2 linked regions of the Elephas maximus indicus genome follow. The protein of the gene in region 2 interacts with the protein of the main gene of each other region in a pairwise test. Links are inferred from orthologs where the notes say so. Each region holds a gene or a part of one and is shown on either strand. Other genes may lie near its edges.

Region 1 (7,811 bases), on a different chromosome or scaffold from region 2:
CTGGGATGACAAGGTTGAGAGCCTCAATCCAGGCAGGGGGAACGAGCAGCAGAGTGTAATGCACAGAGCAAGGTGGGTTTTGTTGGGGGGAATTAGCTTCTTTTCTTATGGGATTATAAAAACTATGTAAGAATATTAACCTACTTTTAGTCTTTTTTTTTAATCACTTGAGTTTTAGTTTTTAAAGCTTTTTGTACTCAAATGTTTAATTTTTGTGAAGACAAATCTCTCTTTTCTTTACAGTTTTTGCCTTTGATATTGTGCTTAAGAAAGGTGGCTCAAATTTATATATTTAACTCATATTTTATACTGGTAATTTTTCAGCATTTTAAAAATTGTAACCCATCCACCCAACGATAGCTCCATATAAATGCACCCGTGTATGGAGAAAGGCTTGAAATGCTTGTCTCTATGGGTTTTGTATATCATTAAGGCTAGGATTTCTTTTACTTTATCTCTTTTCAAATTCTTTGAATTTTCTCAACAAATGTGTGCTATTTTTCTGAACAGGAAAAAACAGTTTCAAAATAGAAATACCTTTTAATCCATCTGGAGCTTATTTTGGTTTGAGGTAAGAGGTAGGGATCTAATTTTACTTTCACCAAATGGGTACTCAGCTGTCCCTACATCCTTTGTGATGTCTGCAGTCATTTCCACCTTAGTTTACAGTACACTACATTGGCCTATGTATGCGGCTTTGTTTCTAGGTTTTCTTGCCTGTCCTCCTGTCCCAAGGCAGTCCCTTCACCCAAGTACTCCCTCTGGCTGATACTTGGCCGAGCCTGCCCCTTCCCCCCCTACCCCCACACCCCCCACCCCTGCCGTGGTCCCAGCTCTGCTTTGAGGTCACAGAGCCCAGCTACACCTTAAGCCCCATATAGCCCTGCAGAGACGGGGAGAAAGAGATGGAGGGGCACCTACCCACCGAGTCTGCTCATCTCTGGGCCAAATCTCGGGCATCCAGCTCCTCCTGCCATCAGCCTGTTCTAACCTAGCTGAGTTCCATATGTGGCAACAGATGCACAGAAAAGCCAGGACTGTCAGCTGGGAAGGGTGCAGGGAGCACCAGGGGGGAGAGATGTGCAGCCCCTCCAGGATCACTCTGGCCCTGACCCCAGGAGATTTGGGGGAGGGGTGGCATGAGGAGGTCTAAGAAGCATTATAGCATTAGGACAGAGCAGGCGAGGGGATTAGAGTCCCCACCCCCAACCCAGCCCTGACAGCCTAAGAGGCTGGATTTATTTTTTCTGGGCTACAGAGAGCTGGGCAATTAGGTCTCTGCCTGCCCTTGCTTCTGCTGGGGTGCACTCAGAGCGGCTCGTTAGGCAGGAAAATGAAATCAGGCCCAGCCTGGCACTCTCTGTCCCCACCCCTCACCCCTTGAGTTGCATCATCCAAGGGGAGACACAGAGTGGAGGAGTTTGGGGCCCTGAGGAAGTGCCATCCCAGAACCCCTTAGAGGGTCTGCCAAAGTCTCAGGGAGGGTGGCTGCAGTCCCTGGGGTGATGCCCTCCATCCTCTGCCCCATCCTCAATCCTTAAGCAGATGCTTAAGGCACTCATGGAGGGTCAAAAACAGGGGCTTAGCTGCTGCCACCTGTGAGGAGTGCGGCCATGCCAGGCCCCCTAAGGGCCATTTCAAAAGGAGGTAGGGTGCAGGGATCCCAAAGGCCAAAGACAGCATGTCTTGATTGCTATGAATCCTTAGCTTCTTGCATTGCAGAAACCAGGTGCCCTGCCAGCCCCTCTTCTGTCCATCCTGGACATAATAATACCATCTTCCGTTTTCTCACCCTCACAGCAACCCTGCAAAAAGGTAGTACCACCCTCATCTTAGAGACAGGAAAATGGAAGCTCAGGGCTTGACTCTGGCCCCTGCTGGGTCCCTTTCCCCAAAGTACCAGTGAAGAGAAAGGTGTCACTCTAAAGTTTGTAGGGAAGGCACAGAGTGTGAGAGATGGTTCCTTCTTATACAGGACACAAGGCACGCTCGTATCCCTCACCTAACTGGTCCCTTAGGCAGGACGTGGATTTAGGTCTACACTTACTCCACAAGCCAGTTGGGCCCAGAGGCTCAGGGACTTGGCCAAGGTCTCACGTTGAGTCAGTGGTGGAGGCAGGGCTGGAGTCCAGGTTGAAGCTTCCTTAGCCAGGAACGTCAGCTGCATCTGGCTGAATATTAGCATACCCTGGAGTCCATCCCAAAGGCGGCTTCATCCAGAAAGCCCGCCCCGATTCCGAGGTAGGATCCACTCTTCCCTTGCTTTGGGCTTATAGCAAGGAAGCCATGGAGCTATGATTTGCTTTGTCTCAGCCTTACCTAAAGAGCAGAGACCCCGGTATTCTGTTCCCAGAGCTGGGGAGGGGGTAGAAAGCACTGTGGACCCAGTGCCCCACCCCTCTCCCCATGGTCCCCTTCCAGGGCTGTGATACCCAAGCAGGAATGGCAAAGAGGGTATCAGTAGGGAATCCCAGGTCCGGGAGTCAGAGACTCTTTAAGAGGTCATCTGGCCCAGTCCTCGGCCTGTAGGCACAGAAGGGTTTATGGAGACCAGGACCCAGGACTGTAGGCTTCCAGCCTTGACTCTCACCAAGAAATACAGAAGTCAGCACAGGTCAAATAGAGTGATGCATGGAGGACTTGCAGTGAATCTGCTTTGGGGCTGAGGGCTGTGAGCGACATGTGACGAGGGAGACTGTGTTGGTAAGGCTTCTACTATGGACTAGGCATTCACATGGACCATAAACCAAAAAACTAAATCTATTGCCGTCAAATTGATTCTGACTCATAGCGACCCTATAGGACACAGTAGAACAGCCCCGTAGGGTTTCCAAGGAGCACCTGGTGGATTCGCGCTACCAACTTTTTGGTTAGCAGCCAAACTCTTAATCAGTACGCCACCAGGGTTTTCTCAAGTGGACCACCTGATCTAATTCTTTACCACTCCTCCAAGGGGGTGACTCCTCTCCCCATGCCTCAGGAGAGGGAGCTGAGACTCCAAGAGGCAGAGGGACCTCTTTTCTTGATTCAACAGATGTTGACTGGCAAGTCCATGCTGCCAGGCTCTGTGCTGGACTCCAGGAAGTCTGCTGTGACACACGCGGACCCAGCTCTGCCCTCAGGACAGATAGGCAGGTCACCAGGCCATGCCACTCCAGGAGGTCAGTGCTGCAAGGGGGTGGGGGTAGTGAAAGGGGCTCTGGGAGGACAGGGATGCCCCTAACCCAGGTACACAGGCCACAGGTACACAGCAGGTGGTAGAGCTGGGACAGAGGCCAGCTCTGTCTGCCTCTATTGCTCTCTGCTGCTGTGCCAGAGAAGACCAAGGAGAAGAGAGGAGAGAATGAGTTCTGAAGGGGGTGGGGGGACAGGAGGTCTGGATTCTGGCTCTCACTCTGTTGCTGACTCCTGTGGTTCCTGGAGCCACTCACTGGGCAGCTGTGGCCTCAGTTTCTCCAGATGTACCATGCCTGAGTGATGTACCCACAAGACGAACTAACATTCTGGAGAGTGCTTTGCTAACTGTACAAACAGAAGGAAGAATCCTTGTTAGGAAGTATCCTTCCCCTCCTCCAGGACAGTACCCCTCCGCTTGGGGCTGCCCGACACCCCTGACACAAACTCACATGGTTGGGTGATAGGACAGTAAGGTGGGGAGCCAGCTGGAAACTCACCCCCCTCCTCCTGCCCACTGGCAGAGCTTTACCCAGCTCCAAGGGTGGCCTAGGGGGCCTGCAGCTGAGTCAGCACCCTCTCCACTGTCAACCACCACCAGGGCATAAAAGCTAGAGCTAAGAATGCTGCGCACACCTGTCCACACATGTACACCTACCCTCCCCAGACCACCTGACACCCACCGGCCTTGGAAACCAGGGTCATGGATGAAGACAGGAGAGAGAGCAGGGGAGCACAGCAAGCTCATCAGGGGCCTGCCTCCCCACCCAAAGTCAGCAAGATGGCAGGTGTACTCCCTAACTGGCTTCTTCCCTCATTCTTCAACTCATCTGCTCAACCATCCTTCTAGGCATTCACTGGGCAAACCAGGCCCCTGGCATGGGGCAGGCCCAATCTCTGCCCTCAAAGCACTCAGGGCCCTGTGGGAGACACAGAGAATCACAATCCACATAGCTGGCACAGGCCCAAGGTGCTAAGGGATCTGAGGGGGAAAAGGAGGTAAGGATGGAGAAGGAAGGGGGGAGGGATACTTCTTAGAGGAAGAGACATTTGCAAAGAGCCTTGAGAGGCAGAGACAGAGAAGAAGGGCATTCCAGGCAGAGGTGATGGCCTGAGCAAAGGCAGGGTGCTGTGAAGGGGTGAGGCATATACTAGGAAGGGGAGAAGCTCAGTGGGGCAGTGTAGAGGTTGTGGAAGGAAGGGGTGGAAAAGGAGCTGATGGATTTCCTTGCAGCAAGTGTCTTCCTGCACGGAAGGAGGGAGTTTCCCATTATAGAAGGTAGGCAGTTGGGGCTGGGCAGATTGATTTTGTCTATACACCTATGCCTCAGTTATCGACTACCTCACTATCTGACATTTTGCACTTACAACAATATCTGGCTATTTTGCACATTGATGATGTACCTCTGGTAATAATCCTTTTATGACCAGTGGGACATACAGTGCCCACCTACGTTTTCTGCCTCTTGGGTCCAAAGGGACATATGTGTCCCACATAATATTTTGTGATTTGATGTGGTTATCCTCCATTTTTGCATAATGACCTAGTCTTTGGAACCTAACCATGTTAATAACTGAGGAGTGGGTGTATTCCACCCACCCGACTGTGCCCTCCCTGGACTCCACTTAGACTACCTTCTTTCTCACCCTCCTTCTCGCCCACAGCCAATCTGTTGACTATACTCTCTCTGTGTCACTAGAAGCCCTCCCCTATTCTACTTCCCTGTGACTGTCCCTGGCCCCAGTCGAGGCTTTTCTCATGTGGCTCCCTACTCTCCCACCTCTATTCAACTGCCCTTAAGCCATTCTTCACACTGTAACCAGTGCGGCCCTCCCACAGCCCAAGTCAGACTCAGGTCCCCGTTGCCCAGGATGAAGTCCAAGCTCCTCAGCTCAGCCTTGAGGTTCCAGGGCCCACTTGGCAGAACCTCCCCGCTCCTTACACCCTAGCCACACTGCAGCTGAATTACTTTCAGTTCCTAAACAAAAGACACATTATTACACATGCAGTTCCTCCTGCCTTGAGCTTCCCCACACCTTTCAGATATCAGCTCTGGTAGGGCACGGGCTCAGCCTCGAGGCTCTCCCTGCCCCAGTAGTGTTTCCCTCTGCCTCCACAGTGATCCCCCTGGGTGGTCTGGGTGTGTTGGCTCCTGTCTGCTCCCTCACCAGCCTGGGAGCCCTCCAAAGAAGGGAGAACCAGGTCTGATCCACTGTGACCCAGGGCCCATCGCAGGGCTAGGACCAGAGCAGACATCACAGCAGGGTTGTTGATTGAATAAATAACCATTGAATCCCAGACAAGGCTGTGTGAAATAGGGGAGAGGATACAGGATGGGGCTGCAAGCAGGGGGCAATGAAGGCTGGGCCTTCAGCTCCTCAGCTTGAGTAAATCACATACTTTTCCTGGAGGGGATCAAATAAGCTTAAAACAGCCTGAATCAAAAGGCAAAAGATGGTATAGAAATGCCAGAGAGCATCGACTCTCACTGTCCTGTCTCCTTCAGTGTCTCTGGCTGGGAAGTTCCTCCAGGTGTCTGACCTATATCTCTCTTGCTATAGAGAAGCTGGGTTTGACACTGTGCTCCCTCCCACAGATACGATGTCTTCAGGAGGTCCTGTGGGGACAGCCTGAGAAAAATCTTCTGTCATAAAAAGTCCTTAATTGGCAGCATTACAGTAATGAGTCACAGGCAACAACCAATTAATTATTCCCAGTTATAAAAAGCTTCACTTCCCCTTCCTTACTGGTGAGTGAGCCGGCCTCCTGCGACCAGACTCCTCCAATCCCGGAGCTGGGGAAGGAGAATAGGTCATGCCACATCTCTGGTCCTCAGTTTCCTGTTTCCTTATTTGTCAAGCGTGTGCCCTGGGGGAAAGGGGCTGTGTGAGCAAGGGCTGGAGGAGGTGGGAATGTGGCAGGCTGGTAGGGGAGGAAGGAAGGAAGGGGGCCAGCTTGGCTGGAAAGGAAGCTCTTTGCCCACCCTTCAACCACCCCAGGGTTCACTTAGGTACTTGAAGGCTAGATCTTAACCAGGAAAACCCTGAGGGTTCCTAGCCTGGCATTCAAGGCACTCTAGATCTTGTCCCAAATCCTCCTGGCCCAGTGTTCTTTCTCCTCCATCAGGCAATTTCCCAAGTCCCCCACTCCTCCTTTCATCTCCTTCCAGCGCTCTCATTTAAACACACATACTCAAAATATACGTGCTCTCTCCTTCAACCTCCATCCTCCTGAGGCACGGGCTGCAAATCTATCTGACTCCCTGGGTGAGGCTCCACCCATAAAATGGGGATAACAATTAACCATGCCCCATGGGGGTGTTTTAACAATGAATGGGGCAATGCCTGAAAACCACTTGGCAAGGCTCCTGGGCAAACTGTAGGTACTCAATAAATGTCAACTGTTACTATTACTGTCATACTTCATTTGCCAGCGGGAGGATGACCGTGAGATGCTTCAGAGACTCACTCACCCATCTGTCACCCCATTTCACAGATGAGGCCCAGAGAGGTCAGGCTTCACAGAGGAGGGACTTGCACACAGGCTTCTCTGAGTTGAGGGATGCAGGTGGGGTTAGGGGCAGAGGGCTCCCCCAAGAGAACCTGAGGGGAGGCAGTGGTGCTGTGGGCAGGGGCAGGTGTCCCCAAATGAGGAGGGGAAGGTGGGAGTGAGGAGAGGTACAAGGGCCACTATTAGACCCTCCTTGCTCTTGCAGAGGCCTCTCCTCCACCGCCCAAGCCCCCAGCGCTCTCCTCTCCTCTCCTCTCCTGGCCCCAACAGTGTTGTTCCCAGGGCTCATTCTGGGCCTCTGTTCAGCAACATTTATGGAGCACCTACTATGCACCACCCAGTCTCTGAGACATGAGATCGCTGTTTTTTTCACTGTGCCAGGCCGAAAGCCCAGCCCCCATCACTGTCCTCTCCCAGCTGTTTCGGGAAGAATGCGGAGAAAAGAGGAGAGAGAGGCTGAGAGGCTGAGGCATGGAACCCAGGAGGTGGGAGGAGAAGTGGGAGTGAGGTGAGGGGCTGGGGGAGGGAGAAGGGGATGCTCATCCTCTGCTGTGAGTTTCGGGGTCACCTGAGGTGAGTTCAGCCCTCTCTGCAGAGGCCTTACCACCCAGAGCTGCTGCAAAATCCTCTCCCCACTCCCAGCCAACCTGGTGTACAGCCTCCAGCTTTTGCCCCAACCCCAGTGCCACTGACCCTGGTGTTTGCAGAGCCTGCACCACTCTGGTTCCCAATCAGCTCAAACCCAGCTCTGGCCCACAACTTCCTCTACCCTGGGCCTTGTGCTGGCCACAGCCAAGAGTTATCACTTCCTAAGTCCATGGCTTGCGCCTGGCCAGTCCAGAGCCCACCAAAGGACATGAGACATCCTGGGCGATACATCTGTCCTGATGCCAGGACAGTGTCTGTCCGGATGGCCAAGGGCTTTCTGCTTGGAAGCTCAGTCACCCTTCTCCCTTCGCCTCAGCCATTTTCCCATCCCCGTCCCTGCTGAGAGCACAGTGTTGAACCTACATTGCCTGGGTCCAGATCCTAACTCTGTTCCTCACTAGCATCCCTATCTTCAGTTTCCCCAACTGTGAAATGGGGCGATGATGATCTCCAGCTTATGGGCTTGTTGGGAGGAACA
Region 2 (5,248 bases):
GGGCTGACAGAGGTGATCCCTAGTCTTGCCTTCTCAAAATAAATTCCACCAAGGTCTTTTTCCATTTTTCAAGTTCATAGGCTCAGAGATCTAGAAGGTAGCTTGAGGAATAAGCCATCGAGCTATTCCCCTGCTGTCAGGTAAGAACGTAAGGTTGTGTGTCACCTGTCCTACTCACTTGTTTTATAAGCAGTGCAGGTTGGTAATTTCTGTGTTACGATAAAATAAGCAAAGACACAATGATGACCCAGATACATAATTGTGACTTAATCTAATTTATTACAATACGAACCAAATAATTTTTCCACACCTGAGTGACATTGAACAGCACATAAACCAATTATTTTATGTCAAAGAGAAATGACTAGAATAAAGATTATGAAATGAGCAACTTGCATTTGATCAGGCAGAGTAAAACTGAGAAAAAACTGTCACTACGAATAAAGAAGCAAAAAGTCCCCAGAGTGTGAATTTCGGTCCAGGTTTCTCAGCATCGTTGTTCTCTGGAATGAGCAGGCTACTAGTACCCCAGTGCAGAGCAAGACGGACGACAAGTACTGAAAACATGGGCAAGAGGTTGGCAACCACTGGAGAGAGGCCTCAGGGGTCTGAGGCTGCTGGACACAATGCTAAATGGTTGCAAACCACAGGCCAAACCACTCAAGGGTTGGCATCCGTAAGTGAGGAGGCTCAGGGGTCGGCAGCTGTTGGGCAAACAGTTCAGTGGTCGATAGCCAATGGGTGCACAGCCCAAGAGATGGCTGTTGTAGAGCAGAGGACTCAATGGACGGCAGCCACTGGGCACATAGCTCAGAGGTCTACAGGAGACTGGGAAGCAAGAGCTTGAGATGGAAGAAGATACAGGAAGAAAGCTGGTTCCTTGGCAGGGTCTGGGCACATAGTAAGCAGTGGAAGGGCAGCAAGAGTTGCTGGGCTCGCAGTTGGCTGGCTGGCAGCTGGTTGGTTCACTGCAGGTCTCTTGGCAGTTGTCCAGGAGCCAGGAACTGCCTTGACAGCTGCTGGGTAGGCAGAAGGCATCTCCATAGCTCACATTGGTAGAGCAGAGGGCACTGGAGGAGGTGACAGGAATATGGCAGATATTCCTGAGGGATCCTGAGCTATAGTTTCCAGAGCAGTAGTTGTGGCAAGACATAGTGAGGTTTCTAGAGCAGGCTGTGGTTGAGTAGAAAGAAGTAAGTGTCTCGAGTTTGACTGTGCCCTCACTTGGTTTGACCCTTATATATCCCTAGCAGGCGGTGGTTCTGTATTCAGACTCTCTTCCTTGTTGTATGAAGTCTGCATCAGAACTCATCATTATAGCTCAGAAATTGGCACTACCCCCTCCCATAAAACCCAATGTTTCTTGCAAAGCTTCCCCTCGATAAAGAATGGCTATAAACCAGTGTAGCTAAAATTTTAATAGAATCTTTCCTTCTTAAATCATCCAAAGAAAACAGACATTTTAGAGGCCATATACTTATTCCAATGATAACCACCACTGGACAAACATTCCCAGAATTCCTGTCTTAGAATAGTCTTTAAAAATTGTAGGAAACATCTTTGAAACAGTGGCAATTGTTTCTCCGACAAGGAGAATTCTATTCATTTTGGAAATTGCTGAAGTAAGTAACTTGGAAGCAAATGTGTTGAAAAAGAAAGTGGGCAATCCTATAACCTATAAGGTTTAGAGCAGAAAGAGCTTGAAAGTACTATGATATGGTGCCCTGGCAGGGCCGTGGTTAAGAGCTCGGCTGGTAACCAAAAGGTCAGCAGTTTGAATCCACCAGCTACTCCTTGGAAACCCTATGGGGCAGCGCTACTCAGTCCTACAGGGTCGGTATGAGTCAGAATTCACCTAACAGCAGTGTGTTTGTTTGTTTTTATAATATAGAAAAAGTCCATGTGCCCAGTTTTTTGTTTTATTTCAGAATCCTGGTAGGAAGTGACTTTCCATCAAAACATCTTGATTCACAAAATTTGTGTTCAATCTATTCAGTTCAATTAAAAAAAATGCTAAGTCAAGCTGTAAGCTTGGTTTTTGTTTGCAATATTTTGTTTAATATAAATAATAGTTGGGCTCATTTACAATTACTGACCCTGCCCTGAGCAAAATCAGATAAGCAGAACTCTTTAAAGAAAGTTTGGTGACATGATTTTTTTTGTGATTTTTTAAGCTTATTCATTTTATGGTGTACTTATATTCCAGCTGCAAATTATTGTTTATGGTCAAAAATAAGATATAATGATTAAGACATGGATTTGGTTTTGCTTCCTACATTGGTCCTGACATTAATTTAAAAAGAGGTGTTCTAACTGTATTTTTTTTTTTTTTTTTTACAGGCAATAGCAACAGGCTAAAAGTATAGCCTTCCTAAGTATGAGTATTTTGGAGGCTACTTGGGAATAAATTGTATGGCAAGGAGGTTTTAAAATGCATGATTTGGCTTATTTTCAATGGTCCAACTCTGTTTTCCATATACCTGCAAATCCAGGGACAACGGTGGCTACTTTAGCGTGAACTTAAATTATCTGCTGAATCTCAGTTCCAATTCCCTTTGGCTAAAAATTCAATTTATGTTACAAAATTTCTTCTACTTTAGTGTTCATTGAACCCACCTACTCTTATCAAGTCTTTCTCAGTCCAGAGGGGGAAGAATTTATGAATTGCCTATGAGGCAATACAGGCTGATTTTGCTACCAGAGGTAAAAAGATGAAGAGAAAATTATAGTCTCTGAGGTTCTGTCCCAACATGTGGAAATTATCTCGGTATTTTAGTTTGGAGGCTATTACCCTTTCATGATTTGTATCTAATGTGTTTCAATAGCCCCAGGCCTTCGTCACCTGTCTGACACTGTTTGTACCCAGCTGATGGAGCCTTCTTGTGAAATCCTGGTTGCATCAGCTGAATGGCGTTAGTAATAGGTAAAGCCATCTTTAACTGAATGATTGTCAAAATTGTGCATCAATACTTTATGCCTGCTCTTTTCTATGATAAGCAAGAGCCTAAGACCTATATCATTTTGACACCCGTGTAAGTATGTCTCTGTATGTATACGTATTATATATGTAGTACAATGGACTCAAACACGCCAAAGATCATGAAGATGGTGCAGGAACAGGAAACATTTCGTTATGTTACACAAAAGGTAGCCAGAGTGGGAGCCAGCTCAATGGCAGCTAACAACAACAATATATGTAGGCATGGAGTCCCTGGGTGATACAAATGATTAGCACACTCAATTGCTAATCTAAAGGTTGGAATTATGAGCCCACCCAGAGGCACCCCAGAAGAAAGGCCTGGTGATCTACTTCCAAAAATTCAGCCATTGAAAACCCTGAGGAGTAGTTTTACTCTGGCACACATAGGTAGTCATGAGTCAGGGTTGCCTCGACGACAGTTGGTGCTTGTATATATACGAGTGTTTTTCTATGAGGAGAAAGACTGCAGAAGAGGGAACCAGCATTTATTTATTGCCTACTATGTGATAGACCTTGTGGTGTTCACAGCCATGCGTGAAATGTCACTTTATCCTCACAAATTTATATAGTACATTTTACTCTTCCAAGTGTTCCTATGCGAAAATTTGAAATTTAGAAAGGTGTAGTAATTGATATTAAGCGAAACCTTTGAATAAAGGCTTCTTGACCAATGAAACATTTTTCCTTTCAGTATGAAATATGGCACTATGTTGAATGTATTGATACTGTCATTTACTAGCTGTGTGACCCTGGACAATTTGCGTAATCTCCCTGAACCCCAATTACCAACCAGTATTATTTCTGGGAAAAAATGGGAATATTAATAATATCTATTTTTTAGTTTTATTTTTAGGATTAAATATATTGAGATATAATACAAAATTAATGTAAACTGCAAAACACTGAAGATAATCTGTTCTTGTTGTTGTTATCTTATTTTTTGCATCTCTACTCCCTCCCAAAGAGTATCATCCATGAGACCCTATTTTTTCTTATTATTGATAAGTAACACTTTGAAAATATCTACAGCATTTCAGAAAATGAAGTCCCCCAAATATAAGTTCTACCTTAAAATAATACATGTTGAGTTGACGTTACTGAAGAGTGACTATGCCACTAACATGGAAGGGTTTATTTGGGCACAACAGGTATCTCATTAGTATGCCTGCTCTTTTCTATTATAAGCAAGAGCCTGACACCTACATCGTTGCAGGTACCTGTAAACTACAGGTTTACCTACTTTATTGCTTTTTCTTTAATGAGCCAAAGGTCCTTCCCTCTCTTACTCTATAGAACCCCTAATCTCTCTCTGTTGGATACAAAGAATCCTCAGAGCGTGATACATAGTGAGGGTATGACCATAACTGACAGGCATGTCATTCATTCAGCAGATGTTTATTGAACATCAAGGATGTGTAAAACATTGCGAAAGATGCTGGGGATGATACCCAGATATAACTGGCTTCTGCTCTCCAGACACGTTCAACCTTGTGTGTGTGATAATACAGGAGCATAAATTCTCTAAGAGGGGTACAGAGGAGGACAAACAGAACTCATTGGCATTACCTAAAAGTTGGCATCTGAAATTAATTCTTAAGAATGGGAAGAAACAACCGGCCGTTTGGGGAAGAGGATGAGACTTCAGGCAGAGGTGTATCCAAGGTATGGCAGGCATGGCATGTGCCCTGGGTGCCATGTGGAGGGGGTGGCACCACTGAGCAGTTTCTATTAACCATCTCAGTAGTTTCCTTCGCCAGCTGTGAGAGATCATTCAGCAAGTTGAAAATAGTAGTTTGGTATTTGAGAGGCTCCATGAGTCAAGGCAAACTGTGTGATCTTGCTACGCTGAGATGGAGAAGAAACAGAAAGAAATGACTTTGAGCACATCATAGATCAGTTTTCACGAGTGAAAGCAAGGAATAGTTGTCATTTTCATGTAGTGCCATAATGTGTTAAGTAAAAGGTTAATGAGCTTGACTTGTATTTTTGAGCTGATATTATGATAAAGTTATCTAGAAGATGGGTGTCAGATGTTTGGACAGGGGCAAAATTAGTGCTTGCATAGGCTCCATTTTCCTCAGATACACCTCTGCATCTATGGGCTATGCAAAAAGTATACTGAAAACCAAAAAACCAAACCCACTGCTGTTGAGTTGATACCAACTCATAGCGACCCCATAGGGTTTCCAAGCAGGCTGCCACATCTTTCTCCAGCAGAACGCTGGTGGTTTTGAACTACCAATCTTTCAGTTAGCAGTTGTTCACTCT

What was found.
Region 1: the proteins of keratin-associated protein 26-1 (region 2) and GDPD5 interact in a two-hybrid assay, tested with the Homo sapiens proteins (2 studies listed by BioGRID and IntAct). The two-hybrid records come from large-scale screens. The link is inferred for Elephas maximus indicus from reciprocal best matches to the Homo sapiens genes KRTAP26-1 and GDPD5.

Annotation. Positions count from the first base shown.
Region 1 is NC_064825.1:47,044,054-47,051,864, reverse strand, and holds the start of GDPD5 (glycerophosphodiester phosphodiesterase domain-containing protein 5), read right to left. Parts: upstream 3,009-7,811; 5' UTR 2,186-3,008; coding exon 2,048-2,185; intron 1-2,047. UniProt on the Homo sapiens protein: Glycerophosphodiester phosphodiesterase that promotes neurite formation and drives spinal motor neuron differentiation.
Region 2 is NC_064836.1:31,370,234-31,375,481, reverse strand, and holds keratin-associated protein 26-1, read right to left. Parts: upstream 1,154-5,248; coding exon 521-1,153; downstream 1-520. UniProt on the Homo sapiens protein: In the hair cortex, hair keratin intermediate filaments are embedded in an interfilamentous matrix, consisting of hair keratin-associated proteins (KRTAP), which are essential for the formation of a rigid and resistant hair shaft through their extensive disulfide bond cross-linking with abundant cysteine residues of hair keratins.